7 linked regions of the Mus musculus genome follow. The protein of the gene in region 3 interacts with the protein of the main gene of each other region in a pairwise test. Links are inferred from orthologs where the notes say so. Each region holds a gene or a part of one and is shown on either strand. Other genes may lie near its edges. The genes, in order: Pias1, Mrfap1, Htt, Ptk6, H2ap, Mbd4 and Ppl.

Region 1 (3,500 bases), on a different chromosome or scaffold from region 3:
CATGGTCCCTGTCCTGAAAACCTTCCAGGAAACAAGATGTGGCTAGTAGACTGATTGTAACCCCTGCCTGACCTGTGTAGACCTGAGGGAGGGTGTGTGTGATGAATTTGTCTTTTTAGAAAAATACATAACTATATCTCCTATATAGATAGGAAGAAAGGAATTTTTTGCATAGCCATATGGTGTATTCATGTTTTAAGTGTTTAATTATAAAGAATTAAGTAGTCAGAAGCCTAAGATTTGTAGGCAGTTAATGGTTAATGGGGGAGACATTTTCTTCAGTGATATAGCCAGTGGTAAGTTGTCTGTGCTCTGTAAGCAACACTGACATTTGAAGTGGACTGTTGGAAAAGGAAGGAGACCAGCTAGGGGAAGAAAGAGCAAGAGAAAGTAGTAGAAGTGGTTATGGTTAAAAGACATATACACGTGAAAATGTTAGAACTCATTGTGTTTAATTTGTATGTTATGAATGTTTTAAAACAAAGTAAAATTAAAGAAAGATAGCTTTGGGATTTTTTTTTTTTAATAAATATAGAATGGTCTAAGCACAGAGTGCTGGTAAAGCCCACATAGTGCACAGATCTGTCCTCAGCCTTCACAGCCACTCCGCAGTGCTCCCTGACCCGGAGAGACTTGCAGCTCCGCACACCCGACTCAGAGTGCCCCACGCAGGTGGGACATTGCTTGGTTTTTACAGCAAGTTCTTCCTGCGCTTCCCAGCTCAGAGATGTTCATGTGCGCAAACCCTTTGCCCAGCACCTACAGTGCTGAGAGCAGAAGCAGGCTGCACCGAGCTGCAGCCCAGCCTGGGAGCAGCTGAGCAGCTGTGAGACAGTTCTCAAGCTGAACTTGCCATTGGAAATGTGGGATGTATCCTTCCTACTGCTTCTGAACACCTCAGAAACAGAGGGCTAAGAACTGCATGCAATACAAACTACATGCACACACAATCAAAAATGTCATTCCAGTCTCAGATACCATGCCAAAGCGCTCTCAGTAATAGTGACCAGTCGTTTACTACAGAATGTGTTGTCACTTGAGGAGCCTTGTTCTGCTGAGAAGAGTACGCCGAGGTGCATCTGATTGTAACAGAGTGTTTTGTCTCTGGTCCCTCCTAGCATTACAACACCTCCCTGCTAGCCGCAGCTGCAGCGGCGGTCTCAGATGACCAGGACCTCCTGCACTCCTCCCGGTTTTTCCCGTATACCTCCTCGCAGATGTTTCTCGACCAGCTAAGTGCAGGAGGGAGCACATCTCTGCCAGCCACCAACGGAAGCAGTAGCGGCAGCAACAGCAGCCTTGTGTCTTCCAACAGTCTGAGAGAGAGCCATGGCCATGGTGTGGCCAGCAGGAGCAGCGCAGACACAGCGTCCATCTTTGGCATCATACCAGACATTATCTCATTGGACTGACGCTCTCACCCTGCTGCTCCCACCCCATCCCAGATTAAATGACTTGGCAGAAGAGAACTCTATGCTCTGTTTTACCTTATCCTGTTTAGAAAAGTATACAAGCGTGGTTTTTTTTTTCCTTTTTTTTAGGGAAAAAAAAATTAAAAGAAATGTACAGAGAACAAAACTATATTTTCAGTTTTACTTTTGTATATAAATCTAAGACTGCCTGTCTGATAAAACACTTGTTTAAAAAAAAAAAAAAGAAAAAAGAAAAAGAAAAAACAAGCACCCACAAACCTTCAGTTCATTTTTTCTGGATTCTGAAGACTTCACCATTTGTCCTGTGGTTTGGGTTTTATTTTACTTCAATGGCATTATCTTTCTTGCAATAACGGAAACAATTGCATGTATGAGGTTTAAATTGTGGGCTTTGTTGTGGGGATGGGTTTGGGATAGCTTTGATTTCCATTTTTTAAAAGTGACAGACTTGGATTCTGTTTGTGTGTGCGTAGATTTTACCAGCCTTAAGTTATGAGCCTCGTCTATCTTACTGCATACCCTTTGTTTTCAAGACAGAGCTTGTGTGCGTGAGTGCGTGCGCGCGTGCGCGCAAGAGCGCCTGTGTACCTGTATGTGCTGTTCTGTCGTCACTCGCCCCTCCTCCTCAGTTTGCATTTGGTTATTATCACTCTTGTGTGAGCATCTTTCTCAACTCTCCCTAGGTGCATGTTCTCCATCCCAGATCCTCTGTGATCTGCTGTCTACCCTCTACGAGTGTGTTTCCCAGAAGTGCTGGAGCAAACGCTGCTTGGATGCGCAGTCTGTGGGCAGGCCCTCGAATGACAATACACTTCTGTTGATTCTAAGTCTGAATTGCCAGTATTCTGTATGTAATCCAAGGCTGTGAGCACTTGCATTTTGGCAACAGGGTAACAAGTTTTCCTTGAGGATCTTCATACCAAAATGGGATGTGAAAGAACCCCCGTAGCCCCGTGGGGTGTGGAGCTGGCAGAGGTCGTTCCGTTCCACCGAAAGAAAAGAAGGAAGGAAGGAAGGAAAGAAAGAATCGGTTATCCTAAAGTTAACAGTACAGCACAGCCCACATGTGGATCCATACCAAATCTATCTGATAAATAGTTGAAACTCAAAAATAACCTTAGTTATTTTGGTTTTCTGTCTCCGAGTATACTTCCTTTCTTAGCCGTGTTCTTTTTTCCTTCACCTTTAGTGAAAGCATGACATAGGAAGCCTTTTTTTTTTTAAATTCAAGAACCAATTGGTCTCACCTACTCTCAATAGCAGAATATGTAAATATATTAAAATTTGTTTCAGGAGGTGATTAAGGGTCAAAGGAAGGAAAAAATACTTCTCATACTTGAGAGTCCGCAGAGAAGAAAGCATGCTCTGACAGTGGGAGATAGATGGCAACTGATGGAGGATGCAGGTGTAACTGCAGAGAGCCAGGGCACACCATCACCAGCTCCTGCACTGGCTTTTATGTCCCACCTTCATGTTTTCAGAGTTGTGGAAGGACCATCTTTGTGTGTGGTAAACTTGTTTTCAAGCCTTGCATCCATAACAGAAGGACCGGTAGGTATTAATCCAGGTAGAAGTCATGATGACTGTGTCTTCAGTTGTATAATAAAGGAAGTGGTTCACATGACAGCGTGGCATCTAAAAATAATATCTATTTTATAGTCTCTCTGCTACTAAAATGTCGACTTGAATTTTTGAAAAAAGTTGGTGTTGATATGTATATGTGTGTGTGTGTGTATATATATATGTATTTATAAACAAGTGCGTGTGAGTAACATCATCGTCTTCCCCTACGCATGTGTGTTCCACACAGAAACGGCTGTGTTAGAGTCACAAAACAATTCGCAATAAAACAAGACATTTGTTATCAGTTAAAACCAGAAATAGTTATGTTTTTAAATTCATCTGGTGTTATGAATACAGGTTCTACCATCTCTCATTACTGTATTAATTTAGACTCACTTCAGATAACCATAATTTGTCTAAATTGGGATTATAGTGGAAATCACTGAAATTTTGAGGTGTTTCTATTAACATAGCAATAGGAAACATTATTTTAACTGAGGTAAA
Region 2 (3,870 bases), about 1.9 Mb from region 3:
GGCAATTGCATCTGTTAAGAGCCCAGAAGCTGGTGCCTCAGCAGTACCAAGAAGGAACCATACACGTGAGGTTCAATGGTCACTCCCGGATAGGAACATGCAGAGCAGTCAGAAGTTAGGCTGGGCTGCAGTTCCCTCAGCAGACACAAGAATTCTAAGATGTCTAGGGTGGGGTGTCCTTAAAAGGGAGGGCCCTAGACTTTGGCCACCTAGGAATGAGATGATGGCCACACAGGGTCAATCCCAGCAGTTGGGGACCCAGCCCTTCTTGTCTGAAGGGAGTCAATACATTGTTGCTGTTGTATCATCAAGACTGGTAAAGAACAGGAGTCAAGTAAAAGGCAAGTAAAAGGACTGGTCTCAGAGGCTAAGACTGTGGACTTGCTACTAGGAATCAAGACTTTCCTATTCTCACGTTTCCTACAGCAGTCGAAATCCCCTTCTGCTTACCCAGACTCCCAAAACTGGAGAATGTTCATTTAAACTAAACACAGGCCACTGAAGGAAGACTTCACTTAATATTTCTTAGTAACTCTCCGGGCTGATCTTTTCAAGCAAACGAATACTTTTATTAACATGTAAGATTTTGTTTTCAACATGGTAAGGGTTTTGACCTCAAACGCTTATCAGGTCTGCCACTCATACATTTATAGTTCGACTACATATGAACCTTTAAGACGCCTCTTCTTTTAAGTTTTGGGTCCATTGCAGGTTTTCCTTCCTAGGCCACACAGGGTATTGCAAGGATCTTTCATTTTATGGCCAGGATCTCCTCGAATATATGGGGATACCAACTTGTACAGACTAACAAGACCTCTTCTCCCATCCGAGGTTCCATTTCTTTTAGAAATGAGTTAGGCTGTCCCAACAAACTCACCAGGCAGGTTACAATAGATAGTGTAGCACATAAAATTTAAATTTTGCACAAAATACATCTCTCCTCCTTTGGTCTCACACAGAAATTAAAGTCCCCCAATAGAAACAATACTATCCTCCGACCCTTCTCCCAGGTCATCAGTCCTAGCCATGTAAGGCCCATCCACTGTCCCGGATGAAGTCTGGTCTCTTCTGCCATTGCTGCATGGAGTCTTCGAGAATTAACACAGCTCCTTCAGAACTTTCAGAGGCGGTGAGCTTCAACTCTGAGTCTCAAGTGTCACAGAGATTCAAAGTTCAGGGAGCTATCAGGTCACCCAAGAAAGAGCAAAGCACCTCAAAATTTAGGAACAACAACCAAAGGCCAGGAATGAACGTTATTCAACTGCCACAGGGCTTACAATCTAGGCCCTAATTCCCGTATGTGAGCGCATTTTCCAAATCAAAGTTATTTCCCCCAAACAAACAAAAAAAAGGAACCACCGAATAATCAAAAACTCATATCGAGGTCGTCAACCGCAGACCATAGCAGAAACGTAGTGTCAGTGAGAAACAGAGGGAAGACAGAGGGGAAAAGAAAAAAAAATAAGAAGGAGATAAAAAAAAAAAAAAAGGAAAACAAAAGGCTCTCTGGTTTCAGCTTCTCCAGGGTGTCATGTCAGCCAATCGCCATCACTCAACCAGAATCCATTGGCTGGAAACCTAAGGCACGGGCGGGAGAGATTCATCACCGAGAGGTTAATCACGCTGTCCGGACAGCAAAGCAAATACCCGGCCCCCTTCTGGACGCTGTCTCACTTAGGGCCCCATGCTCTCCAGCACCATCTGGAAACTTCCACGGTCTCCCCGCCGACGATTTGCTATTACTCCTTCCCCAGGGGGGGCCTAGTTTACTCCCGAGGCGACAAGCCAGCCTCCTCCCCCACCGTCGCCCACGCCCCGCCAGGCTCCCGCCCTTACCGCGGCCGGCTCCTCACGAAGACTCGCTCTTCTCTATCCGCCGCACGAGCTGCACCAGCATCTCGGCCATCTTCGCCATCTCCTGCGCCTTCTCGTCGGCCTTCTCCGCCCGGGGGCCGCGGGGCTCGGCGCCGCCGGCACCCTGCAGGTGGTTGAGGGCGCTCTCCTCGGAGGCCTCGACCTGCGTCTTGATCTGGATCAGCATATTGTCCATCTCCCACAGCTTGCCCCGGTTGCGCGCCGGCGCGCGCCCGCGCTCGCGCGTCAGCGACGCGATGTCCTCGCGCATCTCGTGGATGACGGGCAGCAGAAACTGCTCGAAGTCCTCCTCGGGCTCCAGCACCTCCACCTCCTCGGGCTCCGCCAGCTCCACCGCGTCCAGGGGCCGCATCGCCGCTGCTCTGCTCGTCTGCACGACCCTCACGGACGGAGCTCGGGCCGAGTCCTCAAAACTTCCGCCGCCGGTCCAACTTTCCGCCTCGGAGAAGCCACGGAGACGAGTGACTGCCGAGCGGGCGAGCGACGAACAAAATGGAGTCTCAACCGTCAACCAGCGCTCGGCGCTTTGCGACCCCTTTCACGACACCTCCGCGCCCCCTCTTTACGGCCGCGCTGAAAGGGGCGGGCGCGCTCGCGTCCACGAAGGGGCGGGGCGAGCGCCTCTGCGGCCGCGCGCTGACATTAGGTCGGCCTCCCTTTCGCAGCTTTTGCAGCTGCTCTGGGTGATGCGAAGTTCGTCCCTTCCTGTATCTTATTCCGATTTTATTTATTTACTTTTTGAAACAGGACCTCACGCTGTAGCCAAGGCTGGCCTGGAACTCAATTATTTGGCTTAAACTGATCTTGAACTCTAGGCAGTCCTCTTGCCGTAGCTTCCCGTGTCGCAGGTGTGAGCCACCGCACCCGACAAGTTTACTTTTAAAAAAGAAAAAGAGCCCGCCTTTAATTCCAGCACCTGGGAGGTAGAGGCGGCAGGCAGACCGATCCTTGAGTTTGAGGTCATCCTGGTGTACATAGTGAGTTCAGTACATAGACCCTGTTTCAAAACAAATCAAAACCACCAAACAAACAACAACAACAACAACAAAAACAGTTTTTCGAAACTGGGGAAAGAGGAATCTTGGAAAGCCATGTGTGGACAGTCATCCTGCTCATAGCTCCGCCCCTTTGGTTAGTTTAAGTGAATTATCATATCTTGATTGACGGAGTGGCTGGGTGTGTTTTTACCTGACAGAGCTCCTGGCTTCCTAAGGTGAAACTATTGTCTGATGCTTTCTGAGGCCCCAGGTCACATTCAGTTGGTGATCACTTGCTGTGGAAAGGACAGAAGTTGGCTCAGACGACTACATTTGCGTAACTGTTACTCAACCAACACTGAACTTTAAGGGGAGATGCCGAATTCTTAGTCTACGATCAGACAGTACTTTCTCAGGAATCTAAACTATGTATCTCACTGGTTTTCTAACCACAAGTCGTGAAACCATTTTGCAAAAACCAACCATAGGCATATATAAAGTGCATATCTTTAATTGGACTCTACACTCAGTGGCTTTTGTTTAAAAATAATCCAGGGTAAGAACATGAATAAGCAAATGGTTCAGAGGACAATGGGATACTGTTGCACACTGCATCAGGATACTTAGACTGCAGAACCCTGACATGGGGAAAGGCTGGTATACATTGATCCCAGGAAATTCTCTTCTTTCTCTCCCTCTCGCTACTACTCTCCCTTCCCCTCCCTCACCCTCTCACTCTGCCCCTCCCTCCCGTCTTAATTGGTGGGAATGTGATCTCTATGGCTAAGACAGCTTCTACTGTACAACCCAGCAAATTAGTTGAACCCATGAATCCACCCAAAACCCTGCACATGGATTGTACCCATTAGTGATTCCCTCTGAGTTACCAATAATGTATCAGTGTCACATTAAGGAAAGAAACAGAAGCAATTCTTCTTGGAGTTGTTTAACTAAGAGTGAGTCCAGATCCGAACTGTGTGTTTCAGGCTCCCTGTGTTGTCTGTCCTCTGTCTGTCTG
Region 3 (3,500 bases):
ACTTAGGGTGAGGCTGTACTGTCACCACCAAGACAGCTTTGCTGCTAGTAACTCTTGTGGTCTACTGAGAAGGAGGCTGCCAAGAGGAACTCCTGGCATCACTGTTAGGGCGGGAACTGCAGCTTTACTTACGGCTTTCCCCAGGAGGGTGACCACAGCGTAAAGATGAGAGCTAATGAGAAGCAGCATTGAGAAAACCTCAGAGGGACAGATTATGCCAGATGATGGGGCAGCCGCAGGGCCAGTGGCTGGCTGGCCTGAGCTGCCCTGCCTCCCTTTGGACTTCCCTTTCCCTCAGCAGTAAAACTGCCATAAACCCTGGCTGGCAAATGGTTAGACCTTCTGTTTCGTGTCCCTGTCAACATTTTAGGGAAGGGTAAGCATCACCTGTGGGGTTCTTGTTTTTTTGAGACAGGGTTTCTCTGTGTAGCCCTGGCTGTCCTGGAACTCACTCTGTAGACCAGGCTGGCCTGGAACTCAGAAGTCCTCCTGCCTCTGCCTCCCAAGTGCTGGGATTAAAGGCGTGCGCCACCACCACCCACCTGTGAGGTTCTTTAGAGTTTAGGTTTGAAAACATTCAGTGAAACCTGAACTGGATGCTAAGTGAACAAGGAACCTGGCCAAAGTCCCATGGAAGGAAGGATACATCGCAGAAACCCATGGGCTGGTAGATGCGCTAACAAGGAAGCAGGAGAGGCTCCACATGGCCATGGCAACTGGAGTTCTTTGTGTGAAGTTGGACAGGGACAGCATGACCCAGTCCCGGACCATGGATGACTGCCCAGCACTGTGCAGAGTCTGAAAAACCTAGGGACAAGAGAGCCCTGAGCACAGGGTCAGACTGTGGGGTGGGGTGAGGGGACTGGGGCCACAGCTGCCACTCATCTTAAAGGATGAGTCTAGCCCTGATGACAGGCCTACGGCAAGTGTGGGATTGGCTCCCCCTTCCTCCTCCTGCTCTGTCCTTACCCCACAAGGCAAGTACACCCTCACCTTGTAAACTACAGTGGCCATGAACTGTGGGTATGGCTGCTGATTGGACAGGAACTCTCCAATGACTTTGTTCATGACATCTTGAGGTGGAAAGAAGTCATCTAGGAACTGAGGCAGGATCCTTGCCACAACCCTGGCTTCACAGGGAAATCCCTTGCGGATCCTGAAATGAGAGGAGCTGATTTGAGCCTCACCCTGGCTCTTGGCCTCTCAACCTTGCCCATAGAGCCATCATGGACTAAGGCTCAGAGGTCCTTGACCCACAGGAATGTTCCAAGTGGGGCTCAGACCACAACTAGGGTATGAGTTTTAAAAGCCAAAGATGATATCCAGGCTGTTCTTTTGCTGCCCTGATTGATCTGGGCACAAGGTGATCTTTCCCACTCTGGGGAGAATAATGCAGTTGTGGGACAGCCTTGTAAAGGAATAGCAGCAAAAGGGTGGGGTGGTGATATTACTGAAGAGACTCTCCACATCAAAATGTACCAAAACTTTTCACTGTTGTATGTCCTAATACCCAGAGTACTACTGTCAATCAGCAACTTTTCTTCCCTTCAAAATTGGACACCCATCTATGCTCCTGTTGATTCTTCTCTCAACATCCAACACTTTACCCTTACCTCAGCAGCATCCTTAAAGACCGCTGACCTATGATTATTCCACTAATGCCACACAACTGTGGTATACAGCTGAGAAGTACACAAGTGACTCAGACCCTTAGCCATGCCTCCTTCCTGTGGATATGGCCTGAGCCCCACCACAGCACTTGGCTATACTCCAGGAGTATCTATTTCCTCAGCAGTGGCCTATGGGATCCACCAGGGCAGTGGTTTGGTTGTACACCTGCATGGGTCCAGTTGTCTCTGAGTCTGGTTTGCAGGTGGTGCTCTGTGAATATGCATGCACTGGAAAAATGGCTGCAAAGATACATTTTAGAGTTCAAGAGAATGAACAAATACACACAGAAGAACTGCTCTGGCTGTGGCTCTAGGGCAGTCAATGACTACTGAGGTTAGAGGTAGAGATTTGCTGCATGTCTTACCTATCAAAGAGAACAGACACTCGCTCCATAGCTACAATCACAGACTCGCTGTCAGGTGTAGCAGGGCTGGGGTCAGAAGCTCTGCCTGGACTGGCTTTTTCCTTTCCTGAAACAAAAACACTAAGTAGGCTATACAGAACAGAAGCCCAAGAGTTTTGAAATCTGCACTCAGTGGCTCAAACAGGACTTTACCAGATAGGCAGAGATCCTTCAAAAACAGGTGATTACAGTCCCTAGCAAGGCAGGACCCAGCCCAACTTTCTTCCAACTCTCAGGGATGCAGTGGCCAGAGGCAGCTCTGATATCAATACTTGGTGATATCATGTGAGCTACTCTCTTGCCTTGAGCCCTAAATTTCTGGAAAGGTGACCAGGATGTCTTAGGGCCACACTAAGACTGCCACACCATGAGGCCTGGCTTGAGTCTTTGGGTGAGTCTATGACCCTTACAACTCACTCACCTGTGTACATGCAGGTGAGCATCAGGCCTAGGGCTGCCATGGCCCTGTGTGGGCTTTGTACATTCACTCTGTCCACACTTAGCTTGACCAAGGACTCTGTGTCTAGCCGAGATAGCTGCTCAGACAGCAGGAGCCGCTCCAGACCCCGGAGGGCACAGTGGTAAATGATGGAGGGGGTGGACTCCTCACTTCCAGACAGCATTACTCCACACATCTAGACAAGAAGAAAGGCTTATTCTTATCTTCCCCAAAAGCACAATGACCCACTGGTACAGTTAATATGGTAACCTGCCTATGTTCAATAGAGCCCTCTCACCTGTATCACAGATGCTGAAAATTCTGGTCCCACATCCAGAGGGTAGTTTTCCATCAGGTAGAAAGCAGTGGCACACATTACCAGCACATGCTGCTGGCTGTGAATGTTCACGCAGCTAAGAATGGGAGACACATAATCATACCCAGTCACATACAGCAGCCCCTGCCTGTCTGCAGAGGGGACAGTTTTAAAGCATTATCCACCCACATCTATTGAGTACAGAGCTCTGGGGTCATGTCAGCTTCTCCAGGCCTTTTCACCTGGATGGCCTAGGGATTACACTCCAGAGCTGCATGGCCTTAGCTTAGCATGCCATCTCCAATTCTGTACCTGTCCATAGACCACTTCACTCTCCCTGAACATTCTTTATGTTCTTAGTCAGGGTTCTTCAGGGTGTCTGTTTGCTCCATGCATTTGCTAACTTGTAACACTCTAACTCATGGGATCTCCAGTTGGTGCCTCTTTGCCCAATGGCAGCAGCAGGGGCCTGGCTGGAATATGAGTTAGACCAATGGCACCATAAACAAAGGAGCCACACTCTATCTCTTCTACCCCCTTTCAGATCTGTTCAAATGACACTGCCACTCCTAGGAACTGGCCACTGTTTTGTACAGGACCCTCTGCCCAAAGCATTGAGCAAGGTCTATGTGATTATCTGATTTGGACTTGTAAGCTCCTCCTACCTGTCT
Region 4 (2,583 bases), on a different chromosome or scaffold from region 3:
TCTCCTTCCGCCGGCCACCCACCCCAGTCCGGGATGCTCAGGCCGTGCGACATTACAGGATCTGGAAGAACAACGAGGGCCGGCTGCACCTGAATGAGGCGGTATCCTTCTCCAATCTGTCTGAGCTTGTGGACTACCATAAGACCCAGAGCCTGTCTCATGGCCTACAGCTGTCCATGCCCTGCTGGAAGGTAGGCCACTGGCTCCTCTGTGACATAGTTGCCCAGGGTCCTACTGGTAGGGTATAATATGGGGGGGAGGGGATGGGGGCACAGGACAGGGCAATCTCCTTGGCTATTGCTCTTATTACACTGGCTCACCAGAGCTCAGATGTGCTCCTGCTGAGGACCAGTCCCTAACATTGATGGATGAAGACAGCAGCAATTTTATGAGGATATCCAGATACTGGATCTATCTCTAAATTTAAAAAAATAGATAATAAATAATAAATAATAAATAGAGCTCCTCATGAGGGGTTGGAGCAAGCCCTTCCTGAAGACAAGCTGGGCGACCCAGCCCCCATTCCTACCCATTCCTATTGCCCTTTCTGTCTCTCCAGCACAAAACTGAGCCCTTGCCCCACTGGGATGACTGGGAGAGGCCGAGGGAGGAGTTCACACTCTGTAAGAAGCTGGGGGCCGGCTACTTTGGGGAGGTCTTTGAAGCGCTCTGGAAAGGCCAGGTCCATGTGGCTGTGAAGGTGATCTCTAGAGGTGAGCAGGCCCAGGACTAACTCAACATGATCACGTGCTGCTTCCCCACTAGTCCTTCTAGTAGGCACTTCCAGTCTTCCCCCACTGAGGGTATCCCAACACACTTGCTGGGCACCCACAGCATCATGGTGGGAGTAACTTCTTTCAATTGTACCTGGTTTTGTTTTGTTTTGTTTTTTGTTTTTGTTTTTAAACAAGTCACTGGAAATGTGAGTTTCATCTCAAATCCCAACGTCACCCTCAGGTTTATACCTGAAACCTCAAGAATCAGGTCAGCCAGGACTTTGAAAACATCTGGCTGGGAAATGCTGACTTTGGCAATTGTGACCAAGTTGGGCACAGGAGGGCAAATGGACACATCAGTCTTGGGGCACTGAGGGCTCGGGGTGGGGAAGGCTTTAGTGTGGTAGCTTGGAGGCCAGCCTTTGTCTTCCTAGGCTGACCACATTGCCTGACTTGCTTCAGGAGGTCTGGGCCAGGATCCTGTTTGGGGCACAGGTCGAGGGCTATACTCACTGAGGTTGATGTCTCTCAGACAATCTCCTGCACCAGCACACCTTCCAGGCTGAGATTCAGGCCATGAAGAAGCTGCGGCACAAGCACATCCTGTCACTGTACGCTGTGGCGACTGCAGGGGACCCGGTCTACATCATCACGGAGCTCATGCCCAAGGGGAACCTGCTGCAGCTACTGCGTGGTACGTGCAAAGCTCCAGTCTCCTTTCCCGGGTGAAAGTGCTGGAGGCAGCATTTGGAGGCACAGACAGCCTGCTCTCTGAGCTTGAGGCCAGCCTGGTCTACAGAGCAAGCTCCAAGACAGCCAGGGCTACACAGAGAAACCCTGTCTCAAACCTTTCTCCTTTCCCTCCCCAAACCCCCCAAAACCAAAGATATAAAACAATCAAGGAAAGACATGCACATGTACACATGTATACATGTGCACACACCCTTAATAATGAGTACATGCATTACATCACACATGCTACATTGCCTCATACATACAAATCGTTAAAAAAAAAAAAAAAAAACCAATGGTGGGAGAGATGGCTCAGTGGGTGAAGTGCTTGCTAGGCAGGCACGAGGACCTGAGTCTGAGTCCCCAGAACTAGTTAGTGTAAAGGCAAGCACAGGAGTGGGCTTCTGTTACCTGAGTCTGAATCCTCAGAACTAGTTAGTGTAAAGGCAAGCACAGGAGCGGGCTTCTGTTACCCCTAGGCTTCTACGGTGAGATGGGAGGCAATGGGAGAATTCTTGTTTTATCTGGCTCAGTAGCAAACCACAAAACCATCCTGGAACACGTCACTGGTGAAGACTAACACCCGATGTTGTCCTCTGACTTCCACATACATACACACACACATCATACATACATACATAACAAAAGAGACAAGTAAATGGTCTTATTAAGTACAAAAAAAATCTACCAATTGCTGATCATAAAATTTGAAAAAGTACAGAAAAGAACTCTCCCTCACAATTTCTATCCTCACAGTTAGCTGAGGTTACTTTACTATAGGCTTGTGTAGCCTGCTAGTGACTTGCCTTAGCCCACCAGCTTCTCTCTAAATTCTAAATTCTCTCTCTTTCTTTGTGTTTCTCATAAAGAGCTTGATCTCATAAGCAGTTTCTGCAGGAAGAAGTCTCCAGAGATGAAACTCATGCCCCTTGTAGGTGTAGTACTTGCTGGCTGCGCATTATCTAGAGTGTTCAATGGCTACATACCAAGAATATCTTGCAGCAATGCTCTTGACCTTAGATTGCTTTATGATTCCCAGAAAGGGTGTCAGACAAAGAATATGCTCTTTGTCTCTAGGTACATAGCTGCAGAAGGTCTAGGCCTTCCCATTTTGCAATTAAGCCAAGCCAGCTGC
Region 5 (2,368 bases), on a different chromosome or scaffold from region 3:
ATTTTACCTCTTCTAAAGTGGATGCTTCCTTCTGGCTTCACCATCACACCATCATCAACTGAATGCTCTGTCCCTTATGCCCACTCATGTGGCTCATGCTGACTGTCTGTACCCCTTCACCGATACCCATTTCCTTCTCCTCTGAGACCTTCCCTCCCATGAAAGAAGACTTCCATGCAAATTTTCTGCTCATCAGTAGTTTCTTCTAAGTTACCATACTGAAAATATAACTTGCCAATGAGGTTACAGCCAACTTCTGATCTTCTCTGAGGCTTCTTTTGTACTCAGAGCCAACAAGGGAGCCTTCTCTGCCCTCCCCTCCACCCAATTTCTCCCACCAGGGTCACTACCCAAGCCACCCCCCACCCCTGAGAAGTGCTCCCTTAATTCAAACAAGCACTCCTTAAGCATAACCTCCATCTTCCATTCTTTCTTTAGTATCTTGTGGATAACCTCCAACCCAGGAGAAACAAATGAAAAAAGTCAGAACAATTAGCTTTCATTTAAACATTTTATTAGTAGTCATGGACACCAGGGGAGCCTCCTCTGCTATTAGCCTTCATGGTTCTAGCTGAGTCTGTGAGGCTTTCCACCCTTGGGTTGTGTACCCCATTCTTTAGCCATTCCTTCTGGGTCCAGGCATCTCGTCAAACAGAGAGAAAGGCGCATTCTTGAAGCCTCGAGAGGGTTCGCGGTCGTTGTCTCTCTGTCTCTCTCTATCTTGTGAGATATTTTGCTGGTTGTTGATGTTGGCTTCGGAGCCCACCACCTCCAGGATGTAGTCGGTGAGGTAATCAAGCATGGCAAGAAGGAAATCTGAAGTTGTGGACCCTATGCAGGGGGTATATTGCTCCTCCTGCAGTATACGGTACACATAATTCACAGGAACCTGTACCTCAGGCCTAGAAGAAGGATCTTCTATCTGGTTGTTGTCGCTGCAAGGCTTTTCTTGGCTCTTCTTCTCCGACATGATGGTTTGATGGATTGGGCTCCGGTAAGCTCTGCCTGGTTCACCAGCAGGACTGGCTCTCTGAAGACACTGTTCAGTCAGGCCCATTGCACCCCCAGCTTCTGCACCTCATTGGTCAGGAGCTACCTTTATGACATCTTAGGCTTTGAGATGTCATTGGTGCCTGGTGGGTTATGGGTTCTGACTAGGCCTCAGAGCCTAGAAATATCTATCACAGCAATGTGGCCACCCTACCTCGATTTTGAGGAAACTGTAGCTCTCCTCAGTTTACACTTGAATTAACATTGTAGAAATAATGTTTTACTGGAAACTGTATGTCGTCACAACCATTCTTTCAGTAATTATGGGGCAGTAATAAGCATGTCAAATACATTTCCAGGTAGAGGTTTGACTGTCCTCTTCAAGCAGTGTTGAGACCCATTTTGATTCAATTTACTTATTTAAATCGGCTTGGTTAACAATCCTGTACACCTTTGAACATGTATTCATTCAGTATCTACATGAGTTGTATCTGATCTTCAAAATATCTATTTTTTTGAAGAGGAAATGCTCAGTGTGCTTCTGGTACATAGATGTTGGTATCTGTACTTTGTGTGCCATTTGAGTCAGGATGTAGCTTTCTTGGATTAGTTGGGTTAAAGCCAAGCCCTAGTATAGATATTTAATTTCAATTTTTCTTTCTATTAATATCTTGTTTCTGCTTTTTGGTTGTATTTTAGTTCACTTGTACCCAATAACTTTCCTATTCCAAGAGAAAGAAAGTATAATGAATCTTCAATCTAGTTAAATGTTAAAACCCAACTATGTAAAACTTTATTGGATATCAGGGCAGAATAATAACCTCATGAGATGTGAGACCATTTACCCTGGCTCTATTGATTCCATGGTCTTATCTATAGCCAGATCTCTTCCCTCTAGACTCGCCAATAGTTTCTTTGAATCATGTATCCTTTGAGTGATGGTAACACAAGGTTATGAGTGAGTAATCTTATACACTGTTGTTCTTCACAAAGTTTAAGAATCCCACAGACTTTTGTCATTTCATCTTCTGTCACCTTTGATCTAATCTGACATTATTTCTGCTGATATAGCATTTCCCAAAGCTTATAGATCTATATAACTCATTTCATCAAACATTTGATTTTTTTCATGGGTCCTTAATTGTAAAGGATAGTCATGCTTCATCCACAGACCCAGAGAGGCTTAAGTAACAAGGAGAGCTCTAGGGGTAAAGCCTGGATCTCCCTGGGAAGGGGTGATAGAATAGATTATGTGGGTATACTGGAGGTGGGTAGTGAAGGAACAGGAGAGACCAGTTTGGGGAGGAAGCAATGGAGGGAGAGAGTACAGGGAGAGACTACTGGAACTTGGGGGTAGGCTTGAGGGTCAATGTGGAAA
Region 6 (4,211 bases), on a different chromosome or scaffold from region 3:
GACAGAGTCATTCTATTGTCATTCTCTCTTTTTAAAACACTTTTTGATTTTTTTTTAAAGATTTATTTATCATGTATACAGCATTCTTCCTGCATATACACCTGCTGGCCAGAAGAGGGCACCAGATGTCATTATAGATGGTTGTGAGCCATCATGTGGTTGCTGAGACTTGAACTCAGAACCGCTTGAAGAGCAGACAGTTCTCTCAACCTCTGAGCCATCTCTCCAGCCCAATATTTTTTTTTACTATATATTTTTTTCTTTTTCTTTTTTGTTCGTTTGTTTTTGTTTTTAAAGACAGGGTTTCTATGTGTAGACTTGACTGTCCTGGAACTTATCCAAAGTGCTCTTAAATACTAAGCCTTAATCCTCAGTATTTAAAATTAAGCTTTAAATTAAGCTCACTCTTAAGTACTAATTTTGAAAATACTCCTCAAACTTCCCAATCAAGAGATGTCTTGACTTGATCGCATCTTACATGTTTCTCTGACCGTACATGGAAATGTCCTGTTTCAGACACAGTAGATCTCAGCTCAGGTGGAAATGCTCAGAACCGAGATGCAAGTTACTCACACCGTTTTGTTTGTTCCTGCTCGAAAATTTTTAATCCCGGCACTGGGGAGCTAGAAGCATATGTATCTTTGTGAGTTCAACGCCAGCTTGGTCAACATAGTGCATTCCAGACCAACCAGAGCTTTAAAGTGAGGCTCTATCTCAAAAACAAACCAACAAAAACAGGAGAAATTTAAAGAATGTCAGATAAACAAAAGTGTGGGCACTTTGAGGATGGTTAGGAAGCTGAGAAAACACTGGTGGGTGAGGAATTTTGAGAAGAGAGAAGTGAAATTGGATGATGATGACGTATAAACTGCTCCAGCCTCCCTCAGATGATCCCTATGCCCCTCCAGGAATCTCAGCTTCTCTTCCATTGGGAAGTTGAAGGCACGGAATCAGAGTCCTCGGTCCAGGCCGCAGGCCCGTTGCCATGGCAATGCGCCGGTTCCTGCCGCCTCCCCGCCATCCCCGAAGTTCCCGCTCCTCACCACTGCTCCGCTTTGTCTCTCCACGTCAACACGGCCCTCATCGCCGTTTCCCTCACGCTTCGGGCCCCTCCTCCCAGCCTCGGCAGCAACAGGCTTCTTTCCACAAACCACTTCAGCTACCTGCGCTACCCTTAGCAACGCACATGCGCAATGAACCGCGCATGAGTTTCCCAAAGCTCCAAGTGCGCATGTACAAAAGGGAGCCCACCTCCTCCGCCGAAGCGCCGGGCGCGTAGGGACGCAGGAGGCGGAAGCGTAAGTATGACACGAGCGATTGGTCCGGAAAGGTGGGTGGGGCGGGGAGTCTTGACGACAGAGGGTTTGATTGGCGGGACCCTGGCTGTGGCATCTGTAGCTGAAGCGGTGGCGGGAAGGCTGCTGTGTGGGTTGATTGACTTTCACGTCGGTGTTTGGATTCGGCTCAGTGGTTTGAGTTGTGTTTTACTCCACCTCTCGGCCTGGAGCTGCAGCTGCGCCCCAGTGGACCAAAGCAGCAGGGATGGAGAGCCCAAACCTTGGGGACAACAGAGTCCGTGGAGAGAGCCTAGTTCCAGACCCGCCTTGGGATCGCTGGCAAGTTATTAAACCTCTCTCGGGCCTCAGAGGAGTCGCTCTTGTGTGGGTCTTCCTAACCTTTAACACAAGGTGGCACCTAGAGCTGTCGCCCTGTGGGAACAAGACTAGGGTGTACCCGATTCCTTGGCCGAACTGACTGGGGAGCTTGGAGGACAAGGGAGGTTTTGTGATGCAAGCAGGTTAGCCTGGGCCGGAAGGGACCCTCAGAAATAGCCCTATGACAAGTCACAGAGGAAGCTACTGTTGTGTCCGGGCTAAAATGATGCACGTATTTGCATGTCCCAAAACTTGGGCGCTCAAACACTTTTAAGGGCTGGGCATTTAACTAAGTTGGTAGTGTTTACGTAGTAAACACAAAGCCGAGGGTTCGAGCGACAGCACCGAATATCCGGGCTTGGCGGCGTCTGCCTGTGGAGGCAGGAGGATCAGAAGTTGAAGATGAGTCTCTGGTACGTCGTGGGTTCAAAGCTAGCCTATGGTACATAAGATTCCCGGCTCAAAAGCAAACAACAAAACTTTTTTTTTTTTAATGCTACTTCCTTTTTACAGATGGAGAACGGAGATTTTGAGCTCAAAGTGACTTTCTCTTTGGAAGATCAGCTAATAATAAGTAGCGAGCTGGGGTTTTGACCCATTTTGTTAACCTAACAGTTTTGTAGGGATTCCCTCAGGTTTCAGTTACCTTGTCTCCCTATAAGATCCTTCTAGCTGATACCTAACGCCAAATTCCATCTAAGAATGCCATGGTTCTAATTGTGGTTAGTCTCTAGGTCTTGCTTAGTGTCCCTATTTCCCTATTTGTAGAAAGTAGGTTGGGTTAGAAGGTCTCTCTAGAGACCCACTTTTTTTTCTTTATGTGTTTGTCTATATACGTAGGTGTTGGTGGAGACCAGAGGAGGTGTCAGGTTCACTGGCGCTGGAGTTGCAGGCAGGGTGTTATAAGCTGCCTGATGTGGGTACGGAGTCTCCTGGAATATGTGCTCTTAACCACTGAGCTATCTCTCCAACCCCTCACTTTTAAAATGTATAGTTTAGTGATTAAAATACACTGTACTAAACACTGGAGAGATAGTTCAATTGTTTAAAGCACTTACTGCTCTTCTGTAGGACCTGGGTTTGGTTCCCAGCACCCACAGCAGAGGCTCACATCCATCTATAACTTGGCTCCAGGGGATCTAAGTCCATTCAGGCCTCAGCACCTTCATGGTGCTCATAAATAAGAATAAATAAATTCTTTAAAGGGGGAAGAGATCCACTGCACTGGAGGTTTTGTGGGAACTATCCCCCCCCCATAACAGTATGGGAGAAGTATTAGGTGGGCCTAGGTTTCGGGGTCCACTCTGCAGGTGATTTGATTTTGTTATCACACAATTTGTCAATAAGAGTAAAATAATTCTTAGAGATTTATTTATTTATGTTATATATATGTTTTATATACATGGGGTGTGGGTGTGGGTGCTTTGTCTTGCATACCAGAAGAGAGCATCAGGTCCCATGTGATTACAGTTAGAAGATTGTGAGCCATCGTGTGGTTGCTGGGAATAGAACTCAGGACCTCTGCAAGAGTAGCTCGTGTTCTTAACAGCTAAGCCATCTCTTCACCACCCAATGAGAGTACATTTTAACCTCACAAAGTGATGAGAATCAAGACTGAAAGAGAGCTGGAAGTTCTTACCAGAAATTATGTAGCTTTTGGAGGGCCATGCTATTTTACAAAAGTGGTAGTTGTTGGTTCTCAAAAATGCACACATATGTGAAGTGTTCCCCTTACATGTTTGCAGGAAAGAGGGGGTGATTCATTTGAGCAGTTTGTCTGATCTCAGATGAAAAGTTCAGTTACTGGCTCATATCTCAGACTTCCAACAACTGTTATCAGAATCCTTTATTGAATCCCTATAGTGTGAATTAAGAAAAAGTTTAGCAGGTATACTGTGTGGAGAGTCCTAACATTTAAAAACCCATGTTGAGCTAGGCAGTGATGGTATATGCCTTTCTTCCCAACATCTGGGAGGCAGAAGCAAGCAAATTTCTGTGAGTTGGAGGCCAACCTGGTCTATGGAGTGAGTTCCAGGACAGCCAAGACTACACAGAGAAACCCTGTTTGAAAATCAAGGTGGAGGAGGACACTCATGTTGAAGGACAAGAAGTTGTTAGAGCTGGACAATCCTCATGGCACAAGACTAGCTCACTGACTTTAATTTGTATTTTATACAGTCTCATACTGCTGTGGGCAGAAACTGAGGAAGCAGGGTAAAAGCAATTTTAAGTTCATCACTTGGGTTTTGTTTTTCCAGCAAGGAAGATATTGCTGTTGGACTGGGAGGAGTGGGAGAAGATGGAAAGGACCTGGTGATAAGCAGTGAGCGCAGCTCCCTTCTCCAAGAGCCCACTGCTTCTACTCTGTCTAGTACTACAGCGACAGAAGGCCACAAGCCTGTCCCGTGTGGATGGGAAAGAGTTGTGAAGCAAAGGTTATCTGGGAAAACTGCAGGAAAATTTGATGTATACTTTATCAGGTAAGCATTTAGGAAGGAAAATAACAATACCGCCAAGTGATTTTTGTCCGTAATGGGAAAGGATAGCAAGAATCTG
Region 7 (3,500 bases), on a different chromosome or scaffold from region 3:
CGGGGAGAGCTGGGAGCTGACAGACAGCACTGGGAAGAAGCTGGCTGCCCCAGCCGTCTGCTTCATCATTCCCCCCACCGACCCCGAGGCCTTGGCTCTTGCTGACAGGTACAGACACAGAGGAGGGAGAAGAGAGTGGACCCACGCCTGGGCTCCGCAGCCTCTCTTGTTTAAACCCTCTTAGTGGCGGGTAGGATGCGACACATGCCTCTCATTCTGGCCTCCCTTAAAGGCTGCAGGAAGAGTGGCAGGCTAGGTTGGCTTGCTGAATTGGATGTCTGGCTAGGGGCCAGTGCAGCAGGTGTGTTCTCTTGGTGCCTCTGAGCCTTTGCCAAGTCTTAACCATCCCACCTGTGGCGCCTGTGTCCTGCTTCACCAATTCTGGCCCTTATTTTGTGCTCAGTAGGTCCCCCACCCTTTCTCTCTGTTTTCAGGATCTTTCAGAACTTCATTTTGCTAAGATCTGTGGGTTTGCCCCTTGACGTCAGTGTCAGGTGGCAAATCGCTCAGTCATGTGAGGACCCTTTGCTCAATGAGTAGACTCAAGGGGGTCCCTGGGCTTCTTCCTACCATCTATCAAACACCCGCTGCGCACCGTCCCTGCTAGTGACAGATGCTTCTAGGTAGCGGGGCTTGCAACGGAAGGTAAAGGAGAGGGGACAGAGGCAGAAGAGATTCTTCCCAAACCTTGTTGGTGTAACTCATGACGTACCTTTATTTCATTACTTGTTAGGGAGGAGGGAATGAATGCATGTGCATGTGACAGCACATATGTGGAGGTCAGAGGACAACTTGCTAGAGATTGTTCTTTCCTTCTACCATGTAGGTTCTGGGGATCAAATTCAGGCCTTCAGCTTGGTGACAAGCACCTTTACCCACTGAGCCATTTTGTTACCCCCTGCATCGTCCCCCCCGCCCCCAATAGTATTTTTGACTCTTCAAAACCCTCCAAGGAGCTACTTGGCTCCCATGGGCTGTTGCCCAACCCAGGATGGGAACCTGCTAGGAGGCTGGTATGAGACCAGGGTCCCCAGCACATTCTTGCTCTCACAGCCTGGGCAGCCAGTACCGAAGTGTGAGGCAGAAGGCGACTGGGAGCAAACATGCACTCCAGCAGCGGCATGAGGTGCTAAGGACGGAGAACCCTGGAGGTGGGTACCAGGGTGTCCTGTACAGGGCCAGGGACATGGGAGAGGGGATGAAGTAGACTGTGCTGTGCATGGGTGACAAGTATCTGCTAGAGGGCTGAGAGAGAGAGGCCAAGCCAGCCCAAGGACCTGGTTGGCTTTTGGGGCCTCGTGCTCCTTCACTGTCATCCCTGATTTGTCCTCCCTACGACAGATGCCTCTGATCTTCAGGGACGACAGCTGCTGGCTGGCTTGGACAAAGTGGCCAGTGACCTGGACCGGCAGGAAAAGGCTATCACAGGGATCCTACGGCCACCACTTGAGCAGGGACGGGCAATTGAGGATAGTGCGGAGCGGGCCAAGGGTCTCAAGGTATTGCCAGGCTGGGGCTCCTGCTCAAGGTTCCACCTCTGTGGGGCCTTGGGACATTCAAAACAGGTGTTGGATAATTATAGAGGTAATTATGGAGAGCTGTCCCAAGGGTCGGGGCCCAAACAGATGCCCTGTCCTGGAGCTCTGGCATATCCCAGATGTGATCTGGCTCTGTTTCTGAGTGGCTTTTCAGCCTAGTATAACAGCCATAATAATGATAGCAGGAACTAGAGTCCTAGCAGTATCTGCTGAGTGAGGCTGTGGGCAAGAGGTGGATTGGCTGTGGAAGGGCAGATCCAGCCCACTTCTGCTTGCCCTGCCTGTGACAAGCCAGGGTCTCCTCCCTCTCCCTCTCCCTCTCCCTCTCCCTCTCCCTCTCCCTCTCCCTCTCCCTCTCCCTCTCCCTCTCCCTCTCCCTCTCCCTCTCCCTCTCCCCCTCCCCCTCCCCCTCCCCCTCCCCCTCCCCCTCCCCCTCCCCCTCCCCCTCTCCCTCTCCCTCTCCCTCTCCCCCCCCTCTCCCTCTCTCCTCTCTCTCTCCTCCTTCCCTATCTTCCTTCTTTCTCCTCTTCCCCTTCCTCTTCTTCCTCTTATTTCTCCTCCTCCTCCTCTTTTCTGAGACAGGGTTTCTCTCTGTGACCCTGGCTGTCCTGGAACTCACTCTGTAAACCAGGCTGGTCTCTAAGTCAGAGATCTGCCTACCTCTGCCTCCCAAGTGCTGGGATTAAAGGCGTGTGCCACCACTGCCTGGATCAGGCGTGGGCTGGTCCTCATTTGAGCTGCTGAACCTGGTAAGAGGCCCACGTCTCCATTGACCACTACCTACTCTCATATCCTTCTGCCTGACAGCTCTCTGTGGTAGGTCCTGCCATCCCTGTTTTAGAGAAAATTAGAGTCAGAAAAATCCAGTGGTCTCTGGTGCCTGGCACAGGAGTGAGGGGTAGAGGTCCAGGGGCATAGGCCCACAGTATCACAAGACTCCAAGTTCTGTGGAGTCACAGGATGGGCATATCACAGTATCTACCTGGCAGGTTGCTCAAGATTTCATGAACTCTTTCATGAAAGGTATATAGAGTATCCTGTGTCCAGGGGCAACCTGCTGTTGTCTGAGTTACGGACTTTAGCAGTCCACTTGTACCAGATCCTCATTAAAAACACAGACCCTGGGACGGAGAAGAGAGCTTGGTCAGTGGAGTGCTTGCTTTACATAGCGCACAGGCAAGGAGGACCTCAGCTCAGTCCCCAGCACTCACATCAAAAGCTGCGCATGGCGGGACACCCCCATAATTACTTCCACTGCTGAGGAGACAGGATCACAAGGAGATCGGTGAGGCTTGCCAGCTGGCCAGCCTAATTGACAAGCCCCAGTTCCTACTAAGAGATGCTGTCTGCAAATCAAACAGACAAGGCAGGGCTCAAGAGAGGCTCAGTTTATAAAGTGCTCACACACAACCATAAGGACTGAGTTCAGATCCCTAGCATCCAGGCTTAAAAAAAAAAACTAAAACCCAGCATGGTTGCACTGGTCTATAAATCTGACTTTGGATAAAGCCTACTTGCTAATTGGTAAGCACTGTTCTCAGTGAGAGACCTGTCTTAGAAGACAAGACCGTGATCTAGAGAGAACTGACACTGACCTCTGACCTCCACATTTACACTCCCACCAACTCCACCTCTCCCTTCCACTCAAAATAAAATAGATGGCTCCCAAGGAATACTGAGGGTGACCTCTGGTTTCTCATACATATACCCACCCATGTTTGTGCACATACACACACACACAACCCACAGACTGCCAGACTGGTGATTGGGCTCCAGATGGACACCCCAGGGAGGTGAGCCTTCTCAGCCGTTCGCACTGTCCCAGGGCACATCCTTGACGGAAGAGAGCTGTAGGGCTGTGGTTGACCCGGGCAATCTTGATCTCTGTAGAACATTACCAATGAGCTGCTACAGATTGAGCCAGAGAAGACGCAGTGCACAGCCGAGTGTGAAGCCTTTGTG

What was found.
Region 1: the proteins of Htt (region 3) and Pias1 interact in binary tests that used the Homo sapiens proteins (3 or more experiments, as listed by UniProt). The link is inferred for Mus musculus from reciprocal best matches to the Homo sapiens genes HTT and PIAS1.
Region 2: the proteins of Htt (region 3) and Mrfap1 interact in binary tests that used the Homo sapiens proteins (3 or more experiments, as listed by UniProt). The link is inferred for Mus musculus from reciprocal best matches to the Homo sapiens genes HTT and MRFAP1.
Region 4: the proteins of Htt (region 3) and Ptk6 interact in binary tests that used the Homo sapiens proteins (3 or more experiments, as listed by UniProt). The link is inferred for Mus musculus from reciprocal best matches to the Homo sapiens genes HTT and PTK6.
Region 5: the proteins of Htt (region 3) and H2ap interact in binary tests that used the Homo sapiens proteins (3 or more experiments, as listed by UniProt). The link is inferred for Mus musculus from reciprocal best matches to the Homo sapiens genes HTT and H2AP.
Region 6: the proteins of Htt (region 3) and Mbd4 interact in binary tests that used the Homo sapiens proteins (3 or more experiments, as listed by UniProt). The link is inferred for Mus musculus from reciprocal best matches to the Homo sapiens genes HTT and MBD4.
Region 7: the proteins of Htt (region 3) and Ppl interact in binary tests that used the Homo sapiens proteins (3 or more experiments, as listed by UniProt). The link is inferred for Mus musculus from reciprocal best matches to the Homo sapiens genes HTT and PPL.

Annotation. Positions count from the first base shown.
Region 1 is NC_000075.6:62,879,880-62,883,379, reverse strand, and holds the end of Pias1 (E3 SUMO-protein ligase PIAS1), read left to right. Parts: intron 1-1,118; coding exon 1,119-1,412; 3' UTR 1,413-3,303; downstream 3,304-3,500. UniProt on the Homo sapiens protein: Functions as an E3-type small ubiquitin-like modifier (SUMO) ligase, stabilizing the interaction between UBE2I and the substrate, and as a SUMO-tethering factor. Catalyzes sumoylation of various proteins, such as CEBPB, MRE11, MTA1, PTK2 and PML.
Region 2 is NC_000071.6:36,794,367-36,798,236, forward strand, and holds Mrfap1 (MORF4 family-associated protein 1), read right to left. Parts: upstream 2,389-3,870; 5' UTR 2,228-2,388; coding exon 1,850-2,227; 3' UTR 1,837-1,849; intron 1,579-1,836; 3' UTR 501-1,578; downstream 1-500.
Region 3 is NC_000071.6:34,904,740-34,908,239, reverse strand, and holds part of Htt (huntingtin), read right to left. Parts: intron 2,927-3,500; coding exon 2,812-2,926; intron 2,710-2,811; coding exon 2,496-2,709; intron 2,142-2,495; coding exon 2,036-2,141; intron 1,157-2,035; coding exon 994-1,156; intron 808-993; coding exon 647-807; intron 1-646.
Region 4 is NC_000068.7:181,197,207-181,199,789, reverse strand, and holds part of Ptk6 (protein-tyrosine kinase 6), read left to right. Parts: intron 1-27; coding exon 28-191; intron 192-559; coding exon 560-713; intron 714-1,248; coding exon 1,249-1,410; intron 1,411-2,583. UniProt on the Homo sapiens protein: Non-receptor tyrosine-protein kinase implicated in the regulation of a variety of signaling pathways that control the differentiation and maintenance of normal epithelia, as well as tumor growth.
Region 5 is NC_000086.7:9,845,633-9,848,000, reverse strand, and holds H2ap (huntingtin-interacting protein M), read right to left. Parts: upstream 1,055-2,368; 5' UTR 971-1,054; coding exon 617-970; 3' UTR 501-616; downstream 1-500.
Region 6 is NC_000072.6:115,850,542-115,854,752, reverse strand, and holds the start of Mbd4 (methyl-CpG-binding domain protein 4), read left to right. Parts: upstream 1-1,411; 5' UTR 1,412-1,542; coding exon 1,543-1,616; exon of another isoform or gene 1,617-2,057; coding exon of another isoform or gene 2,058-2,068; intron 2,069-3,913; coding exon 3,914-4,135; intron 4,136-4,211. Other genes in the region: Ift122 (intraflagellar transport protein 122 homolog), read right to left, coding at 1,044-1,084. UniProt on the Homo sapiens protein: Mismatch-specific DNA N-glycosylase involved in DNA repair. Has thymine glycosylase activity and is specific for G:T mismatches within methylated and unmethylated CpG sites. Can also remove uracil or 5-fluorouracil in G:U mismatches. Has no lyase activity.
Region 7 is NC_000082.6:5,097,982-5,101,481, reverse strand, and holds part of Ppl (periplakin), read left to right. Parts: coding exon 1-108; intron 109-1,053; coding exon 1,054-1,151; intron 1,152-1,341; coding exon 1,342-1,499; intron 1,500-3,428; coding exon 3,429-3,500. UniProt on the Homo sapiens protein: Component of the cornified envelope of keratinocytes. May link the cornified envelope to desmosomes and intermediate filaments. May act as a localization signal in PKB/AKT-mediated signaling.